Linked DNA regions of Rattus norvegicus. Each later gene encodes a partner of the first gene's protein in a complex. Links are inferred from orthologs where the notes say so. Each region holds a gene or a part of one and is shown in the gene's direction. Other genes may lie near its edges.

Region 1 (4,271 bases):
TGACCAGGCTCCAATGGAAGACCACATATCCAAAAATATCTGGGCAACACAAATTGGTCTTAAAAGGTTGAAAACCAAAAGGACACAAAGTTGGGTAGATAGGGAATGGGGTAGATCCCGGGGAAAGCTGGAGGAGTGACTATGATTAAAATGCAAAACTCAAAGAATTTTTAAAAAATGCTTACAAAAATGAGTATTGGGCTGGAGAGATGGCTCAGCGGTTAAGAGAACTGACTGCTCTTCCAGAGGTCCTGAGTTCAATTTCCAGCACCCACATGGTGGCTCACAACCAACCATCTGTAATGGGATCTGATGCCCTCTTCTAGTATGTCTAAAGACAGTGACAGTGTACTCATATAAATAATAAATCTTTAAAAAAATTAAAAATTGAGTATTGGCAGTCAAAGGCTCAAGGGGAGAAGGATGAACAGGCAGTACCCTGAGGATCTTAATGGCTTGGAACTCTGTAGATTATAGAAACAGCAGACACAGACTATCTTGCCTTTGTCCTAAATCTCAGACAGTACAAGGGTGAACTGTAACAGCCTTTAACTGATAATGTGTCAGTGTAAATTCACCAATGCTGACGATGAACCACCGTAGGGGTGGGAATGGATCGTAGAAAGCCCTTTGAGGGTGGGGAAAGAGGGAGTAGGAGAAGCTCACCTTCCCAATTTTACCGTCAATCTCAAAATTTTTATTTAAAAAAATTATCTTAACTATATGCTCAGTAACTCTGTTTCTGAATGTACGTCGGATAGTATACATACTAACATCTAGCGAGCACTTTACATAGACAGATTTTCTCTTTAATCTTAAGGAAATAGGTATTTCTCTCATTTTATAGTCAAAGGATAACAGAATTGAAATAATGAAAACAAATTTACAGACTAAAAATTTGGTTTTTGTACCAAATGTACCAGTTTCTGTAGATGCTTTGCTACTAATTTCCACCTTTCTCTAACATCTTGTTGCAAAAATACCTCTATTTAAAAAAAAAAAAAAAAAATCCACGTTTCAAGATCATTAACTTGGCCCAATCGCGAGGAAGCCCGAGACGAGGGGGCGGGGACTCAGAGACTACAAATCCCAGCATGCACCGCTGCCCTGGCAGCTGCTTGCAAGGCTGTGGTTTCCTCCGCGCTCTTCCCTTCTCCCTCTTGTTTCCACTTCCGAGATGGGTTCCTACGCCCCTTGTCAGGTGCCACTACCTACAGCTGCACGCATCTTAGAGACGGACCTGGGTGAGCCCTCGCCGCCCGAACCCCATGTCCCTGCGGCGCAGCCCGCGCTACCCACCTCACCCGCAGTCCCAGCAAGCGGCGCTGCTCCTCTGAGGACGCGCACACGGTTGCTACGGAAACGACGCGGCGTTTCCCCTGACTGGTGAGGCGGTCAAAGGTCGCCTTGGCAAGTTCCGGTTCCGGTTCCGGGATCTAGTTTGTTGTGGGCTGGCTCTGTGGTGCTGGCCGCGGGATTTTGAGGCGTGTATCTGAAGTCCGGGTGTGGGCCAGGGTCGCTCGCGTTCCGCGGCTACAATCATGGCGGCTTCCACGGCAGCCGGGAAACAGCGGATTCCTAAAGTGGCCAAGGTAAGCGACCTCGAGGAGCCTCAAGCACAGCATCTGTGGTGTGGGGCACTAGAGATTCCGGACAGAGATCTTTGTGCCCTGGTCCAAGAAGACAGGTGGTCCATGGTGAGGTGGCACGGGGTCTTGTCACTCCGAGTTCGTCTCGCGTCTGCCCAGCCTTCGTTCCAGGGTGGTATTTTTGTGATGCAAAGCATCAGTTCGGTTCGGTAAACTCATTGCTTTTCCTAGTCTCTGGGGGTCCCCTACTTTTACTCGAGGCTACAGTGCTCCAATAAAACTGGAGGAAGGGCGAAATAGCAACCTTGATAGATGTAGCCTAGTCCCGTAGACTATGCTATAGGCAAGAACCAGAAGGGTGCCAGTAAACTTGAGGGTAAGCTTTGTGAAGGAAGCTAACACTGGAAGGCTGCGTCAAAGTTAGGCAGTGGAGGGGATGGGAGAGGACAGGCTCTGTGCAATGGCATCATTTAGGTTGGACAGTAAATTATTCTATTTCCAACGGTGGCTGATACTTCACCAATGCTTAATGAATATCAAGTCTTGCACTTAGCCATTGCATACAATCTTTCTCTGGTTTGATTCTTCTAGGGCCTTTTGGTCTTGAGACAGGTTCTTATTTCCACATGTAATTGTAAAAATCTAATGTGGTAGCTTTTCCCCTGCATCCTGAGTCATAAAAACCATGGTATGTGTCCTGGCTAGATTTTTTGACAGCTCGACACAAGCTCAAGTTATCTAGAAAGAGGAGTCTGGACTAAGAAAATTCATCCATAAGATTGCTTGTATGCAAGTTACTGATTGGTGCAGAGGGCCCACCCTACTTGGGCAGTGCCATACCTGGGCAGGTGGTACAGAGTAGTATGTAAGAACAGACTGAGCTTAGCTTGTATATCAGTCATGCCTCCGGCTTCCTGCCCTGACTTCCTTTCATGATGGACTCGTGGTCCAGTTGTGTAAGCCAGTCAATCAGCTCTCTCCTCTGCGGGTTGTTTTTGTTGGTGTTGTTCTATCACAGCAGTAAGAAAGCAAATTAGAACAGTATGTTTGCACTCAGGGTCCATCTACCTTGAACACGTTTGACTTGTGGCTACCGTGTTGGAACTAAAGCGCTTACAGGCTATTGGTGGAGACTTTGTAAAAAGAACAGTTTCAGTTGGCCTAAAATGTCATGGAAAACCAATTTGTCCACTCGAGGGGTTAGAGGAGTTAGTTCTCTGAGCAGGTGATAAAGAGGAAGTGGTACGATTTTCCCCCTGCCCCCGGTTCTGTCTCATGGAGAATTGAGGGTGTCATTCAAAGATGGCATCTTGGACTCATTCTTAGATCTTGTGTGGAGAACACTACCCAAAAGCAGGAATGTCTCTTTGTCCTAACAGGTGAAGAACAAAGCGCCAGCAGAGGTGCAGATAACCGCAGAGCAGCTCTTAAGGGAGGCTAAAGAAAGAGAGCTCGAGCTCCTCCCACCCCCACCTCAGCAGAAGATCACAGACGAGGAAGAACTAAACGATTACAAACTACGGAAAAGGAAGGTGAGTCTGTTAAGAATGCACTGCGTACGTCTGTCCAAGTCGCCCCCCACAGTAGGAGCGAGGGCCTGGGAGAGAACTCTGAAAGGGCCTATGTGATCGGACCTCAGGCTAGTATTTGGGATTATTTAATGCACTAATATCGTGGAAGTCATACGTAAAATTCTACGAGTTACCGAGCACTTGAAGGTAATGTTAAAAGTTGTTTCAACATTCTTATTCTTAATGAGAGTAGAATTTATTAAAGCACTCGTTGTTAATTGCTACGGAGAACAGCAAAGCGTTCTAAAAGACACACCTTACATTTTTCTTGATGTCACCATAAACTTTAGAGAAACACCTGTCATTGTCCCCCTTCTGGAGGAAGGTTCTTGTTCCTCAGCATCTAGGATATATTTTCTCTTAGAAAGAATAAAATGAGTGCTGTATATTACAAGGGGGAAGCAAAGTCATTTTCTCTTTGATACACTCTCTTCACTCCCCTTTTGCCTTTCAGACTTTCGAAGATAATATAAGAAAAAACAGAACTGTGATTAGCAACTGGATCAAATACGCACAATGGGAGGAAAGTCTGAAGGAAATTCAAAGGTAAAGTGCCACGACTATAGTAACTGTCTGCAAAGAGTGTGCAAGCCAGCGTGTGAGAGCTGGGAAGAGGAGAGCAGGGAACTGTGCCGTGTCAGCAATTTCCAGCTTCTTTCCAGGGAGCTCTCTGAGGCACTCACTGGGAAGGACAGTCAAGGGGGTGTCTCAGGAGGTTCTAGATGTGGGTCTTGCTGCTAGTACTCCTGTCGCTAAGAACAGTGTTTTGTCTGTTTTCTGTGTTAATTGGATATTGTTTCAAATATAGGAGTGTTCTCCTGAAATCTGTTGTCAAGATAAAAATCATGGTGGCCTTCACTGCCCGTTGACTAGCCTTTCTACCCTCGTACCCATGTTCCACTGTGACCATGTCCTTGCCAATCCTGAGCACATCATTGCTCATTACTGTGCCATTTGTTTGCTCTCTGCCTTGACCCCTTGAAGGCACCTTTTCTTCACCAACCTTGACTTCTGAACAAACTGCAACTATCTCTCCCATTCTCAGTTCCAGGAGCTCCTGCAGCTTAGCCTGTTTCACCAAACATTGCCATTTCTCTCTCTGCTTCCTGTC
Region 2 (4,160 bases), on another chromosome or scaffold:
GGGGCCCACTGTCTGTTACAGATGCTAAATCCTACTAAAAGCAGAACGTAAGTGGGAGGAGAAGCAAAGGTTTACAGTCCCTAAATACATGTGTTTGACCTAAAGAACATTTTTTATGTTATATTGACTAAAATTAATTAAGAACTTTAGCAATTGTTACAATGTGGTAAAAATCCGGCCCAAAAAGGAACATCCACACAAAAGGAGGAGAAATTAACAGGGAACGTAAAAGTGCAAGTCTGGGCGTTGTCCTATTTGCCCTCATTTAATTCACACTATCGTTTTCAAAGGCAAATATGGTACTGATTAAGCAAACCGGCTAAACAAGTTAGCAGAAGCGGCCAAGGTTACACACACTAAAGCCATTTCAAGTATCGCCTCTTTAACATGAAGACACCCTCCGGGGTCCGGACAAGAACGGATAACAATGAAAAGACTTCGGAAAAGTTTCTCAGATTCTCCCCTCCACTGAGGGATCGGGCAGGTAGGGGGATCAGAAATCCATCCTCTAAGTAGAGCTTGTCTCTGGGCCACCTGCAAATCCCTATCTAACACGGCGAGCCGTGCCCAAACGCAAAGGCCGGTTGAATGGAGCCCTTCCTCGGGCACCGGCGGGCGAGTTTCCCTAGCACGCCACACCTGGGAAGCCGCCCTTCGGAGTCGCGATCCCACGAGAGCCCGGTGGGAAGGCATGGCTGCTCCCGAACCCTCCTGAGCAGCCTTTGCCCGGGCGCTGACCGCGGCTCAACCCCACCCAGGTGACTCTGTCCCAACCCCGGACAGCGCGAGTGTGGGCAACTGAGGGGCATCATCAGAGAGAGCCCGGGCGGCCGACCCGGTAACCTGAGAGACGGTGACAGAGGGTCGGTCCCGCCGACAGACGCCGGGATCTCAGAGGGTCCGTCGCGCCATGCATCCTCTGGCCCGCCGGAAGCGTGGCGCCTTGGAAGCCACGGCAGCAGTCCGCAGAGCGACCTGCACCTGCCCCAGGAGAACTTAGGAAGCATCCCTCCCGCTTACCTAACTCTCCCGCCCGCCGAAGGGAAGGGGACACCACCGCCTCCCACCCTCAGGTGCGACAGGCTGCCATGGCCCCTCGCGCAGGCGCAGACCAGAAGGCGGGGGACTCACAAGCGGATAGCCAATCGTTGAAGAGAAGAGGCGGACCGATAAAGGAAGCCCCGCCCATGAGCTCGCGTTTATCCCTCCCGCGACTTTCTCCATCCTGGATAGGCCGGAGCGGGAGGGCTGAGTACGGAAGCGAACTGACGTAACCGGAAGAGGAAGTCTTCTCAGCTGTGTTGTTGATGTATTTTGGCAGCTGCTCCTGCTTTGCGGGTTGAGGGGGACAGGACGACCCGTGGAAGGATGGTGTGTGAAAAGTGTAAGTTAAGGCGCTGCTTCTGTGGGAGGTGGAGGCTGGAGGAACCCGACGAAATTCTCTTGGGATTTCGGCCTTTGTTTTTTCTCACCGGTCTGTAGTATAACCTTTGTCTTCCTTCCTTGCCCCACGGTCCTTGCCTATCCCGGGACCCTATAGCCCTATGCTTTGTGTTCAGAATGGTCTCAGTTCTGCACATCTATGCTTGTTTCTGTCACCGTCCTCGCGCCCTCCTTGGATCTCTTTAATTATAACTTCTTGACAGGATCCCAGAGACTTAAAAATCTTTCTGGTAGCATCTAGAGTTGCCAGGTGTAACAAATATAAATCCCAGGCTCTCAGTTACATTATAAGATTATAGGCAATGATTAATTTCTAGTATTATTAATATGTCCCGCATAATATTTAAATCTTGGCTTTTGTTCGCTGTTCCTTACTACAAAACATGCCGCATTTAATACAGATTTTACTTTAAAAATTAATTCAGTGGTCATCTGAAATTAAGTTTAATTGAATATCTTATACCATCCCGTCAGTTCATTAATACAGCATTAGGTCAGGTGAAGGAGAGAGTCTCATCACCACCAAAGAAATCTATGTAGTCATCCCTGGCTTTTAGAAAGGTCTTTTTAACTCTTTAAGTTACCATTCAGTAATTCCAATGAAACCCCTGAGATTTGTTGAAAATACTTATTGTTTTGTTTTTTCGTTTTCTGTTTTTTGTTTTTTACTGCAAAAGCTGTTGATTTGTTTAAAACAGCTTTCTTTTCTTGATCTCTTTCTTGGGCTAGACAGCCTTCTCTGACAAGATTCCAACTTGGATCTCAGTTAATGGCTAATATATACAACCACAGTACATAGAACTCTGGACACAGACACCACCTAGTAGCTGTGGCATCAGACTCAGCCACCATTCTTTTTTTTTCCAGTAAATTCTATTTCTTTATTATTTTTGAGATAATATAATTGCAACATTTCTTTCTTCCATTTCCTCCCTCTAAACTCTCCCATATATCCATCAAATTCCTGACCTCTTTTTTCACTAATTGTATTGAATGCATACATGTATATAGTTGTTTTATAAATGCAGCCTGCTCAGTTCATATATTGTTACTTGGATGTATGTTTCCGGGCTGACCATTAGCACTGGACAACCAATTGGTATGCCCTTCCCTCGGGAAGACCACTCCTAGCTACCTTCATCAGCTCCATTCTCAAACAGCTTTTTATTCTTTTTGAAAGTGGGGAAAGTGTTTAATTAAATGTGGCCTAAATGTAGATATGACCCTGTCCTTTGTGCTGTGCAGTAAAAGGCCATTTCTTTCTATTATAGTTACTCCTCTGCTCTTCTGAAAAATCTAATGTTTTACTATTTGTAACCTCCTAGTCTGTGTGCTCATTACACTCACCCTGTATGTAAACTGAACTCCTGCTCATACAGAAGCTGTACTGTCAGGCAGCCACCTCAGTTCTGCCTTTCCTTCTGTCATAAGTTGCTCAAAAAGTTCTTTGTCTCCAAATTTTTAGAGTTCTCTTCCATTTACTGGGTTCCAGGGTGTTTGTCTTGGTCTGCTTTGTTTCTCTTGATCCATTAGATCTTTGGGAAATGGTTGACCTCAGCTAGCACATCCATACCACTGAGTATCCAGTTCACCTCTCCACCTGACCTTTTCCCTACTTAAACTCTAAGAAGTAACTGTCCATTTGGATCTTGACGTCCGAGGCCCTCTACAGACAAACACCTAAGCTATCCTTCCAACCTCCTTTCTCCCACCTCACACTGAGCTCGCCAGAGTACTCTGTGCACTGTGGTACCCCTGAGCTTCCCATGCCTGACCTGGGGATGTGTCCTTTATTTACTGTTTGACTTCATCTCCTCATCTACTTTCCCAACACTTAAGCTCCATCTCCTTAGTTCACAGCTCAGGCTTCCAGCTTATGGTTCTACTGAAGGCTTCTTCACTTTTCAGAAAGGCTCCAGTCAGAACAAGAAAAGGTTATAAGCACATGCTCTAGGTTTCTGTGCAGTCCCGCCTGCTTCGTTTCCTCCCAGCTATCAGCCTACAAGCTCTTAAGGAGCTCGTGAACTTGGGTCTAAGCCCCTGAATCTAGACTCATGGCTTTGTTTTCCTCAGTACCTCCCACAGTGCTTTGTACAGACTAGGTGATTAGAGAATGTGGGAGAAATGAATACGTTTGTCAGAATTGTTTAAAGTATAATCAGTGGAACCTGTTGGTAGGGCATCTTGTTGTCCTGGAAGTTTTATTTAGAACCAGTATCTGTTGCCCACAGTTGCTATCATTCATTCATTGATTTCTACCCTGGTGTTAGTAGGTTCCTACTGTAGTCTCACTTTTCATGTCATTATGTACTTCAGGCATAATACAGTATATTTATTATTTTAAATTATTATTGTAACGTTAGCAGAGAAATGCGTTTTGTTATTTTATTTCCACACAGTGTGTGTATTAGATGACAGTTGTACTCTTTTGCTATCTTGCTACAACAGGTGAAAAGAAACTCGGCAGGGTTATCACTCCAGACACATGGAAGGACGGGGCCCGGAACACCACAGGTACTGCTTGCCAGTAGGAAACAGGAGCTGGATCAAGTGCTTGTGGACACAGCTCTAGGGCTTCACTGTTTGCAGAGTGCAGTGTTAGATGATGACTCTCTCGTCCATTAAACACAAAGAGGACCGGATTCCCCTGTGAATTCATATCTTTTTCATCATCTGAGTTTCATGAATGGATTCCTCATATAGAGAGTCAAGAAGGA
Region 3 (4,060 bases), on another chromosome or scaffold:
ATTTGAGTCTGGGGGGTATCATTCTTCTGCTACTCTTGGACCCTAACACTCACAAAAAGGAACTCCTATTTTCTGTTTACATACTGATTTCTGGATAATTGTGATATGAATAATTATTAATTATATGATAATTATGATATGAAGTATTCAAGTACATATAGATTTCCCCTTATACCATTAGTTCTATGCATGCAGAAAACCAGTCCTCCAGATTCCTTCTATAGACCAACTGTACAGAACAAATTTAGATGCTCAATAAGGGATGATTAAATTAGCCTGACCTGATTGGTACAAGCTCAAGACATTTCAAGTTAAGCAAATTTTAAAAGATTTATTAGTTTTACTCATGTGTATGTATATCTGTGCATGCCATGGGAGTGCAAATGCCCACAGAAACCAGAGGAGGAGGATGGATCTTCTGAAGTTGGAGTTGTGAGCCACTTGTTTTGGGTGCTGGGATCTGAATACAGGTTCTCTGGAAAAATCACCAAATGGTCTTAACCACTGAACCACCTCCCTAGACATTCAAGCTAATTTGTTGAAGCTCAGTTTTTTTTTCCTCTGTAAAGTAGGGGTGGTAACTGTATTTCATGGGGTTGTTGGGAGGCCAGCTTGGTCTACAGAGCGATGTCCAAGACAGCTAGGGCTACACAAAGAAACCCTGTATGTAAAGAAACAGAGATTGAATGAAAAATGAAAATGGCAGAAACTGAGCCCCTTGGAGGCAGAGGTTTAGGGTAGGGGCAGCCACTGGTGTGAGACTTAGCCTGGGTTTGAGACCTAACAGAGACAACATGCATAAATTTTCTATCATTTGGAACCTTTACATTCTCTAACTCTTCAATTGTTAGGTACTAATTTGACAATGCTAATTTTTGCCTGCCTCTGGAAAAAGGCCACATCCGTTATTTAAATCTGTGGGCATTTAATTCAGACTGCAGAAGCACACGGATCCACTGTAACGCCCAGGTTCCCACCTTCGAGCTACACCAAAAAGGGAAGCAGGGAATAACTAGGGAACTATTTCGCCCCTGGAGCAAAAGCGTGAGAAAGCGCGTTTGCGTTACTGCGCATGTGCCGAGGCTTAGCGCGCCGGAAGTCCCGCCTCCATTTCCGTTGGCTCCAATCTGAGCTGAGTGTTCGGGTTGCGCGCGCGCTTCGGAGCCTCACCCGGAAGCTGATGTCTTAAGAGCGGAGCGCGAAGATGCGAATATGAAGTAAGGATTTAGTTTCTCTGAGGACAGGGGAGGGAGTTTCTCTGAGGAAGGGAGAATGGATTGAGGAGGGCCGCCCATAAGGGCGGGGACAGGTCCTCGCCTTCAGGGCCTCGGGGCGGGAGACGACCGGTACGTAGAAGGCGGGCTGTGAGGAAATGTACTTAAACGTCTTTCCCTTCTCCCGCACAGCCCTTTAACTAAGGTGAAGCTGATCAACGAACTGAATGAGCGAGAGGTTCAACTTGGGGTGGCAGAAAAGGTGTCTTGGCACTCGGAATACAAAGACAGCGCCTGGATCTTTCTTGGTGAGGTCTACATTTTTCTCTAGCAGTGCCTTTCAGAGTCTGTACCTCCCCTCCCCTCCTCCCCCTTCCTCCTGGTTGTTTAGCGCCCCTGGTCGTCACCTCTGAACACGCTGCTCGTCACCTCACACTCTTGCAGCTAGTCTGCTCACAGGTTCCTTTTTCACTTGGCCCCTATGATACTGCTTAGAAATTGGTATTTGCCATTCATTATATGAAAAATCTTGCCACTTGGTTGCTTAGAGACAGTTAACTCCCCAGGCAACCCATAGTGATGTCAAGGAAACTGAGGCGCACAGGGGTTACTGGGCTTGCTTAAGGTGCTGCATCACTCAAAACTATAGGGCTGTGTTCTTAGTCCTTATTGCATGTCTATTATCTGCCGTTTCTCAGAATTATTTTCCTCTTGTAAGTGGCTGCTTCTCCCAGTTCTTTGTTGTATTGTTAGGTACCAGAACAGACATTAACTGGCTTGGACGACATTGAGGGTTTCTCCTGCTTAACATTTGAAAGGCTATCTGAAAATGTGGAGGGATGTGAGCTTTGTTGTTCATTAAGGGAAAACTACTGATGAAAAGAATACAGTCTGGATTACACCCCTGGCCCTGGGTAGATACCGGGACATTTTCAGGAATCCTAAATGTTACATGCTTGTGTTCCCCTTCCTTAAGACAATCCAACAGGCTTTAAATTTTCTGGCCAGGAGTCACCTGTCAGGAAAGCTCAGTCATCTAAAGACACGCTAAGGACATGGGAGGGAAATGATCCCCAGTGCAGTTGTTACTGGTCTCTGTGTTAAGTCTACCTGTTATTCTGAGTTCTCACTTATCCCCTGCCCTCCCTTTCTGTCCATTCTCTGGATGCTGGCTGGAATCCTGAACATGCTTGCCCGGAACACTTTGGACTGTCTCATTCCAAATCTAAAGGCTCTCCTATCCCCTTGAACCACTCCTCTACCTCCATCTCTGTGCATTGCTGCTTGCTTGACCGCTAATTCAGAAGGCATGGCTGCTTCTTCTGCAGCTCCTTCATCCCAGTAGCTGCTGAAGCTTACAACTTGCTTCCCTATCAGCTCTCTCTCAAATGCTAATAAAATGGACCTCAAGCTTCCTCCTTAGTCTGCTTTAGAATTATATTATCAAGATAAGACATTACTAGCCTTTGTAAAAGGGGAACTCTTAACTCTCTGGTGACAATATTATTATCCTGTATTCACTTTATGTCCCAACCAAAATCCTGCAGTTTACCTTTGGAAAGAGGCTGTTGTAATAGGTATTGTGTTAAGCACTTTATATTCCTCATTTTACTTTATTTCTCTAACACTCCTGTGAGGCAAATATGATACCATCCCATTTTTACACTTGAGGGAAAACATGGAGGGAGGGGAAATTGTTTCCTATGAAATGCTTAATATTATCCCTTATAAATCTTAGCTTGCACATAAGTGAGGGTAATAATAGTATACTTAAACTTGCTGTTTATGAGATTGAGTCTTGTGCAGGAAATCACCTGCTTTATAGGATTTTTGGATGTGAGGATTCAAAGATAAAATTAATTTGGTGAGTGATGACCCCAGCCTTTCCACTCAGAGTTACTATTTTTTTCTCTTTCTCTTCTCTTCTTTTCTTTCCCTCCTTTCCCTTCCTTTTCTCCTTTTTTTCTCTCTCTCCCTCCCTTCCTTCTTCCCTCCCTCCTTCCCTCCTTCCCTCCTTTTCTCTCTCTCTCTCTTCCCCCCTCCCTCCCTCTGTACCTCCCTCTCCCTCTTTCTTCCTTTCTTTCTCTCTTTCTTTGAGGCAGAGTTTTACTATGAAACCACTGTGTAGACCAGGCTTGCCTGGAACTCACAGAGATCTGAGAGTTAATTACTTTCCTTCCGGACTACTGTCACTATACCCACTCATTCTATCATTGGATTAGACTGATATATTTGAGATTGTGGCTTGTTTAATCTGTACCTCCAGTGCCTAGCATGCAGTAAACACTTGCTTAATGTTTGTTGAACCCAAGTGTTTGTTTTCTTCTAGGAGGGCTTCCTTATGAACTGACAGAAGGAGACATCATCTGTGTGTTCTCACAGTAAGTCCTCTGTTGTTACCTATCTCCTGGGTGCATAGAACAGTTTGCTTCCATAGAGTATTTTTGTAACAGCAACAAAGCATTTCAAGCTGGGTGTGGAGTTGTACACCTCTATAAGAGGCTGAGGTAGGAAGATCACTTGGAGTGAGACCCTGCCTCAAAAAGCCATGAAAACCATTTAATTCTAGGCTGAATGACATCCATGCATGGGGAAGGCTAGAGTCTAGCTCAGTCCCAGGTTAGATAAGGTTCCAGAGAATTACCACATGGGAGATCCCAAAGCTTGGATCATTTGAGAGTCTGTCTGAGGGACTTTAGTCCGTTTCTGTCATTTTTACTGAGCTTCGTTCTGCATGGGCTTACATTGGAACAGACAGGCATTCAGGAAGATGCAGTATTGCCCCTTCTCTTTGGGTTCTTGAAAACTATGGGTCATCCATGATCACAGGGCTCTCTGAGCCTTAC
Region 4 (4,044 bases), on another chromosome or scaffold:
AACAAGAAATCTGCCTACGATATATGTGATTTATGGATCTCATAACTAGATAATAGGGTCACTTAAGGTCCTTATTAAGCCAAGAAGGTAATTTTCACATGGGTGACATAATTCGAGAGTTATAAGAAAAGCAAAACCTAGTGTGGTTACCTCTAAGATGGCTGTTGTGAGCCTTGTCCATAAGTTGTGTTCAGGATGACTATCTAACAAGTTTAATGAGAGCTGTCTAGTAGTCATATTAACATAGATATGTTAAGGTCTTTCTAACATTTCCTTAGTGTTTTGTGATTTAAAATGTTCTTTTCTAGGTTATTAATATTTTCTTGCAAAGTATACAAACGTTGACCACTTTTACAGAAAATAAGATCCTTTGACTAAACTCACATTTAAATTTAGAAATGCCTACTTGTGGGCTAGCTACAAAGACGGCTCAGGAGTTAAGGCTCAAACTAAAAGGACGGAAATGACTGTTTTCAGGCTAAAAATGCGACCTTCATGTTTTCATGAATTAAAATATTTGAATTTGAGTGAATAATTATGAATTAAAATATTTGAATTTGAATGAGAGCACTGGCTCACATTGCTATACCTGCGCTACATTTTCACCCTTCTCAAAGTATTCGCAGTACTCTCTGAGGACGGGATCATTGAACTTAATCACAGTTCAGGAAGATGCACAATCAGTGAAAATGCCTTATTTAAGATCACAAATAGCAACTACATCAATATAGAAAACACTTGGAAACGATCGAACGTAAGCCACAGATTTTATCTGGGTGAAACACAAAACGTCAACAGTTTAGCATCAGGTCAAATAAAGTAAAAACAACTTAAGTTCCCAATGGTTTCTGAAAAACGGCTTGCTTAGAATCTCTAAGCAGCACTTAGCTTCCGGAAACAAGTACCTCCCCTAAACAGGGCTTTAAGGCCCGCGCTCCCTTCGCTCCGGCTGGAAGCTCCGCCCTCAGCCAGGGGACTCCGCCCAGTTCCGCCGAGACCCGCCCCTCCCCGCCCCAAACCCCGCCCAGTCCCGCCCAGCAGCTGCCTAGATCCTACTCTTCGCCACGAGTCTCCGCGCAACTCCGCCTAGCTTCCGCCCTCCACCGCTAGACTCCACCCCTCGACCCCTGCGCGGCGGGTTGCCAATACGCATGCGCGGTTGGCGTCACGTCCGGCGACAGGCCCCAATCTCCGGAAGGAGCGGCAGAATAGTGGCGGCGATTTCTGCGTCGAGCATTTGGAGTTTCTTCGCTGCTGAACGGGTAGACTAAACGGCGGCGACATGGTGGAGGTAAAGTAACGCTCGGGCACTCGGGAGTCGTTTGTCTTTGGAGCTTTGCCCACGGAAGTAGGATGAAAGTACTGGGAATCTGGGGAAGCGAACTGTAGCCAAAACTGGTGGTCTTGGGCTGTCGGGGTGGGAGGAAGGCCGATGACATCCCGAATCCGAGGTTCAGTCGGCGGGAAGCCTGAAGGAATCTTGCAGTCGGTGTGTTGTTGGCATCTGGCCCTTTCCTGGGAGGCGGGGCTTCTGATGCTCCCACCTTGGCTGGGATGCTAGTCCGTGCTGTCTTGTCAGTTTCACAGTTATTTCATCTCTACCCCATTAAAGCTTGCCGTGCTTGATTTTGTTTGTTCTTGCGTATCCCAAACGTTTCTTATTCCCACCCACTGCGTTCCAGATCCACTGCAGTCCTCCTAATCTAGCCCAACATCTTTTGCCTGGACGAATTCTATAGCTTCCAAGTGCTTACGATTAACGAACACATTGAAGGAATGTAGTTCAGTGCTGCTTTCTGTCCCAGTGTTAAATGTTGGTGATGGCAGAGGCCTAAACCCCACCGACCTTCGGAACCCACACTCCCGCAGCATTCACAACTGCTGCAGTTCTGAATTATATGAACGTCTTCGCAGTGGCATCTCCCAGAGCTTGCACTGTTTGAACCTCTATTCTTTGTAAGGCTGTCTCCCTCTCTGCTTACCTGTCACCAGAGAGAACCTTTCTTGATTATATCTAGCAATTCTTTTTTCCCCTCTGAGTCACCCCATCGAACCCTCCAAAATGTGGAATTATTTTGCTTATTTTTGTGTGTTGTCTCTTGAACTCTGACCAGACAGGAGCTTTCTCATCTTTGTTGTTGGCTGCTGTAGTTTGTCACAGTTACTGAGGAGTGTTAGCCTTTATGTATTTAGCATGTAAAGTGCGTAATGAATCTAATGTTGATTAGAGCGTATGGGTCTCTTCTAGCTAGATGTGTGATCTTGATTGTCTCTTTACAGGAGGTACAGAAGCATTCTGTGCACACACTAGTGTTCAGGTCATTGAAGAGGACCCATGACATGTTTGTGGCTGATAATGGAAAACCTGTGCCTTTGGATGAAGAGAGGTAAGTTCTATTCCTTTTCAGTTGCTAAAGTATTTTATATTGATAGAAGAGCGCAAAGTGACAGAGAGGAGGTGACTTTGAAAGGTCTTAAAAATGCAGACACAGGATACTTGGGCAGTAGCGAGTGTCTTTTCATCATAATACAAATAGCATTAACTCATTTTGCTTATTTTTGTGTGTTGTCTCTTGAGCTCTGGCCAGACAGACAATAACTCTTGTCTATTTTAAAAATCTAATTATAGTTTACAGATACCCAGTGTGATGATTTGAAAGAGAATGGCCTCCATAGTTTCATGTATTTAAATGCTTGGTCTCTGTTGGTGGAACTGTTTTGGAAGGGTTAGAGGAGGTGTGTCATTGGGGATAAGCTGTAAGATTTCAGAAACCTACACCATTCCCAGTTAGCTCCCCTATCTATTGCTCCTTTTCTCCCCCCCTCTTTCCTCCCTTACCTCCCTCCCTCCCCCAACAACCCCCACATCATGCTTGTGAATCAGACGTAAGCGCTCAGCTGCTGCTCCAATACCATGCTTGCCTGTCTGCTCTCATGCTCCCTACTCTGATGGTCAAGGACTCTAGCCTCTTAAACCATGACCCCCAAATTAATACTTTCTTCTCTAAATTACCTCAATTATGGTGTTTGCCACAGCAATAGAAAAGTAGCTAGTACCCAGTAATTAGGGGCATTCCTGTCACGTTATCGTATTTCTAGTGCATCACTTTGTGCATGCTTTTAGCTTCCTGCTCTCAGACTCTCGTTGTGCTGAAATTGTTCTTGGCCAGTATCTCTTCTCCCATCTGTGCTCCTTGGTACAGTGAAGACTTCTAAGTGGCATACTCTTGGTTCTCACCAATCCTAGTCTGGGATTGTGTTGTATGCAGTGCCTTTCTCTGTCCTTTGCTTTTTCTTTATAATCTACTTAATTCCCCTCATTTGCATTTATATTTAATTTTTAAGGTGGATTATCTTTTTAAGTAATATAAGTACATTTATCTTTAAAATGCAGAGCTAATTTAGTGCTTTCATTGGGTCTGACTTTTTAGATTACTAATAAAGGTGTCTATACAAATTTTACTATATTCAGACATTTAAAGGTTTTTTTTAAAAGATATATTAGTTTATGTATGTCTTTAATTTACTTGGACCCTTGAGACCTCATTGAAAAAGGTTTTGTGTTTATTCAGCTGCAAACTATGGTCCTGCTTTGGATTAAATGACTACTGTATGGTAGATTGTGAGGTAAAGTAAATACATATGGTATAGAAATACATTTTGAAATTTCATATTTGTTAAAATACTAGTTAACTTGAAAAACATCCTGGATCTGTGAGTTGGAATACAGTATCTCTTTCTGTACTTGTGTTCTGCTAACTGAATATTTTCATTGGTGATGTGTTTCTAATATTTAAGGATGCATTTCATGTTTATGATTTTTAAATAGTCACAAGCGGAAAATGGCAATCAAGCTTCGTAATGAGTATGGCCCTGTGCTGCATATGCCTACTTCAAAAGAGAATCTTAAGGAGAAGGGACCTCAAAACGCACCAGATTCATATCCTCATAAGCAGTATCCTGCCAATCAAGGTGAAAACCATGAGGTTTACAAGTGGAGTTTTAAAATAGAAAACGTTTCCTTAGTGCCTCACTGTGGGGGGA

What was found. Proteins that work in one complex are often made in the same cells at the same time.
Region 2: Crnkl1 (region 1) and Cript share a complex: the UniProt entries of both Homo sapiens proteins name them as parts of the minor spliceosome. The link is inferred for Rattus norvegicus from reciprocal best matches to the Homo sapiens genes CRNKL1 and CRIPT.
Region 3: Crnkl1 (region 1) and Rbmx2 share a complex: the UniProt entries of both Homo sapiens proteins name them as parts of the minor spliceosome. The link is inferred for Rattus norvegicus from reciprocal best matches to the Homo sapiens genes CRNKL1 and RBMX2.
Region 4: Crnkl1 (region 1) and Plrg1 share a complex: the UniProt entries of both Homo sapiens proteins name them as parts of the minor spliceosome. The link is inferred for Rattus norvegicus from reciprocal best matches to the Homo sapiens genes CRNKL1 and PLRG1.

The regions. Positions count from the first base shown.
Region 1 is NC_086021.1:153,804,799-153,809,069, reverse strand, and holds the start of Crnkl1 (crooked neck-like protein 1), read left to right. Parts: upstream 1-1,455; 5' UTR 1,456-1,541; coding exon 1,542-1,592; intron 1,593-2,968; coding exon 2,969-3,121; intron 3,122-3,614; coding exon 3,615-3,706; intron 3,707-4,271. UniProt on the Homo sapiens protein: Involved in pre-mRNA splicing process. As a component of the minor spliceosome, involved in the splicing of U12-type introns in pre-mRNAs.
Region 2 is NC_086024.1:13,340,080-13,344,239, reverse strand, and holds the start of Cript (cysteine-rich PDZ-binding protein), read left to right. Parts: upstream 1-1,305; 5' UTR 1,306-1,368; coding exon 1,369-1,384; intron 1,385-3,891; coding exon 3,892-3,957; intron 3,958-4,160. UniProt on the Homo sapiens protein: As a component of the minor spliceosome, involved in the splicing of U12-type introns in pre-mRNAs. Involved in the cytoskeletal anchoring of DLG4 in excitatory synapses.
Region 3 is NC_086039.1:132,765,190-132,769,249, forward strand, and holds the start of Rbmx2 (RNA-binding motif protein, X-linked 2), read left to right. Parts: upstream 1-1,205; 5' UTR 1,206-1,212; coding exon 1,213-1,217; intron 1,218-1,406; coding exon 1,407-1,522; intron 1,523-3,543; coding exon 3,544-3,595; intron 3,596-4,060. UniProt on the Homo sapiens protein: Involved in pre-mRNA splicing as component of the activated spliceosome. As a component of the minor spliceosome, involved in the splicing of U12-type introns in pre-mRNAs.
Region 4 is NC_086020.1:170,704,999-170,709,042, forward strand, and holds the start of Plrg1 (pleiotropic regulator 1), read left to right. Parts: upstream 1-1,189; 5' UTR 1,190-1,282; coding exon 1,283-1,291; intron 1,292-2,280; coding exon 2,281-2,387; intron 2,388-3,829; coding exon 3,830-3,972; intron 3,973-4,044. UniProt on the Homo sapiens protein: Involved in pre-mRNA splicing as component of the spliceosome. Component of the PRP19-CDC5L complex that forms an integral part of the spliceosome and is required for activating pre-mRNA splicing.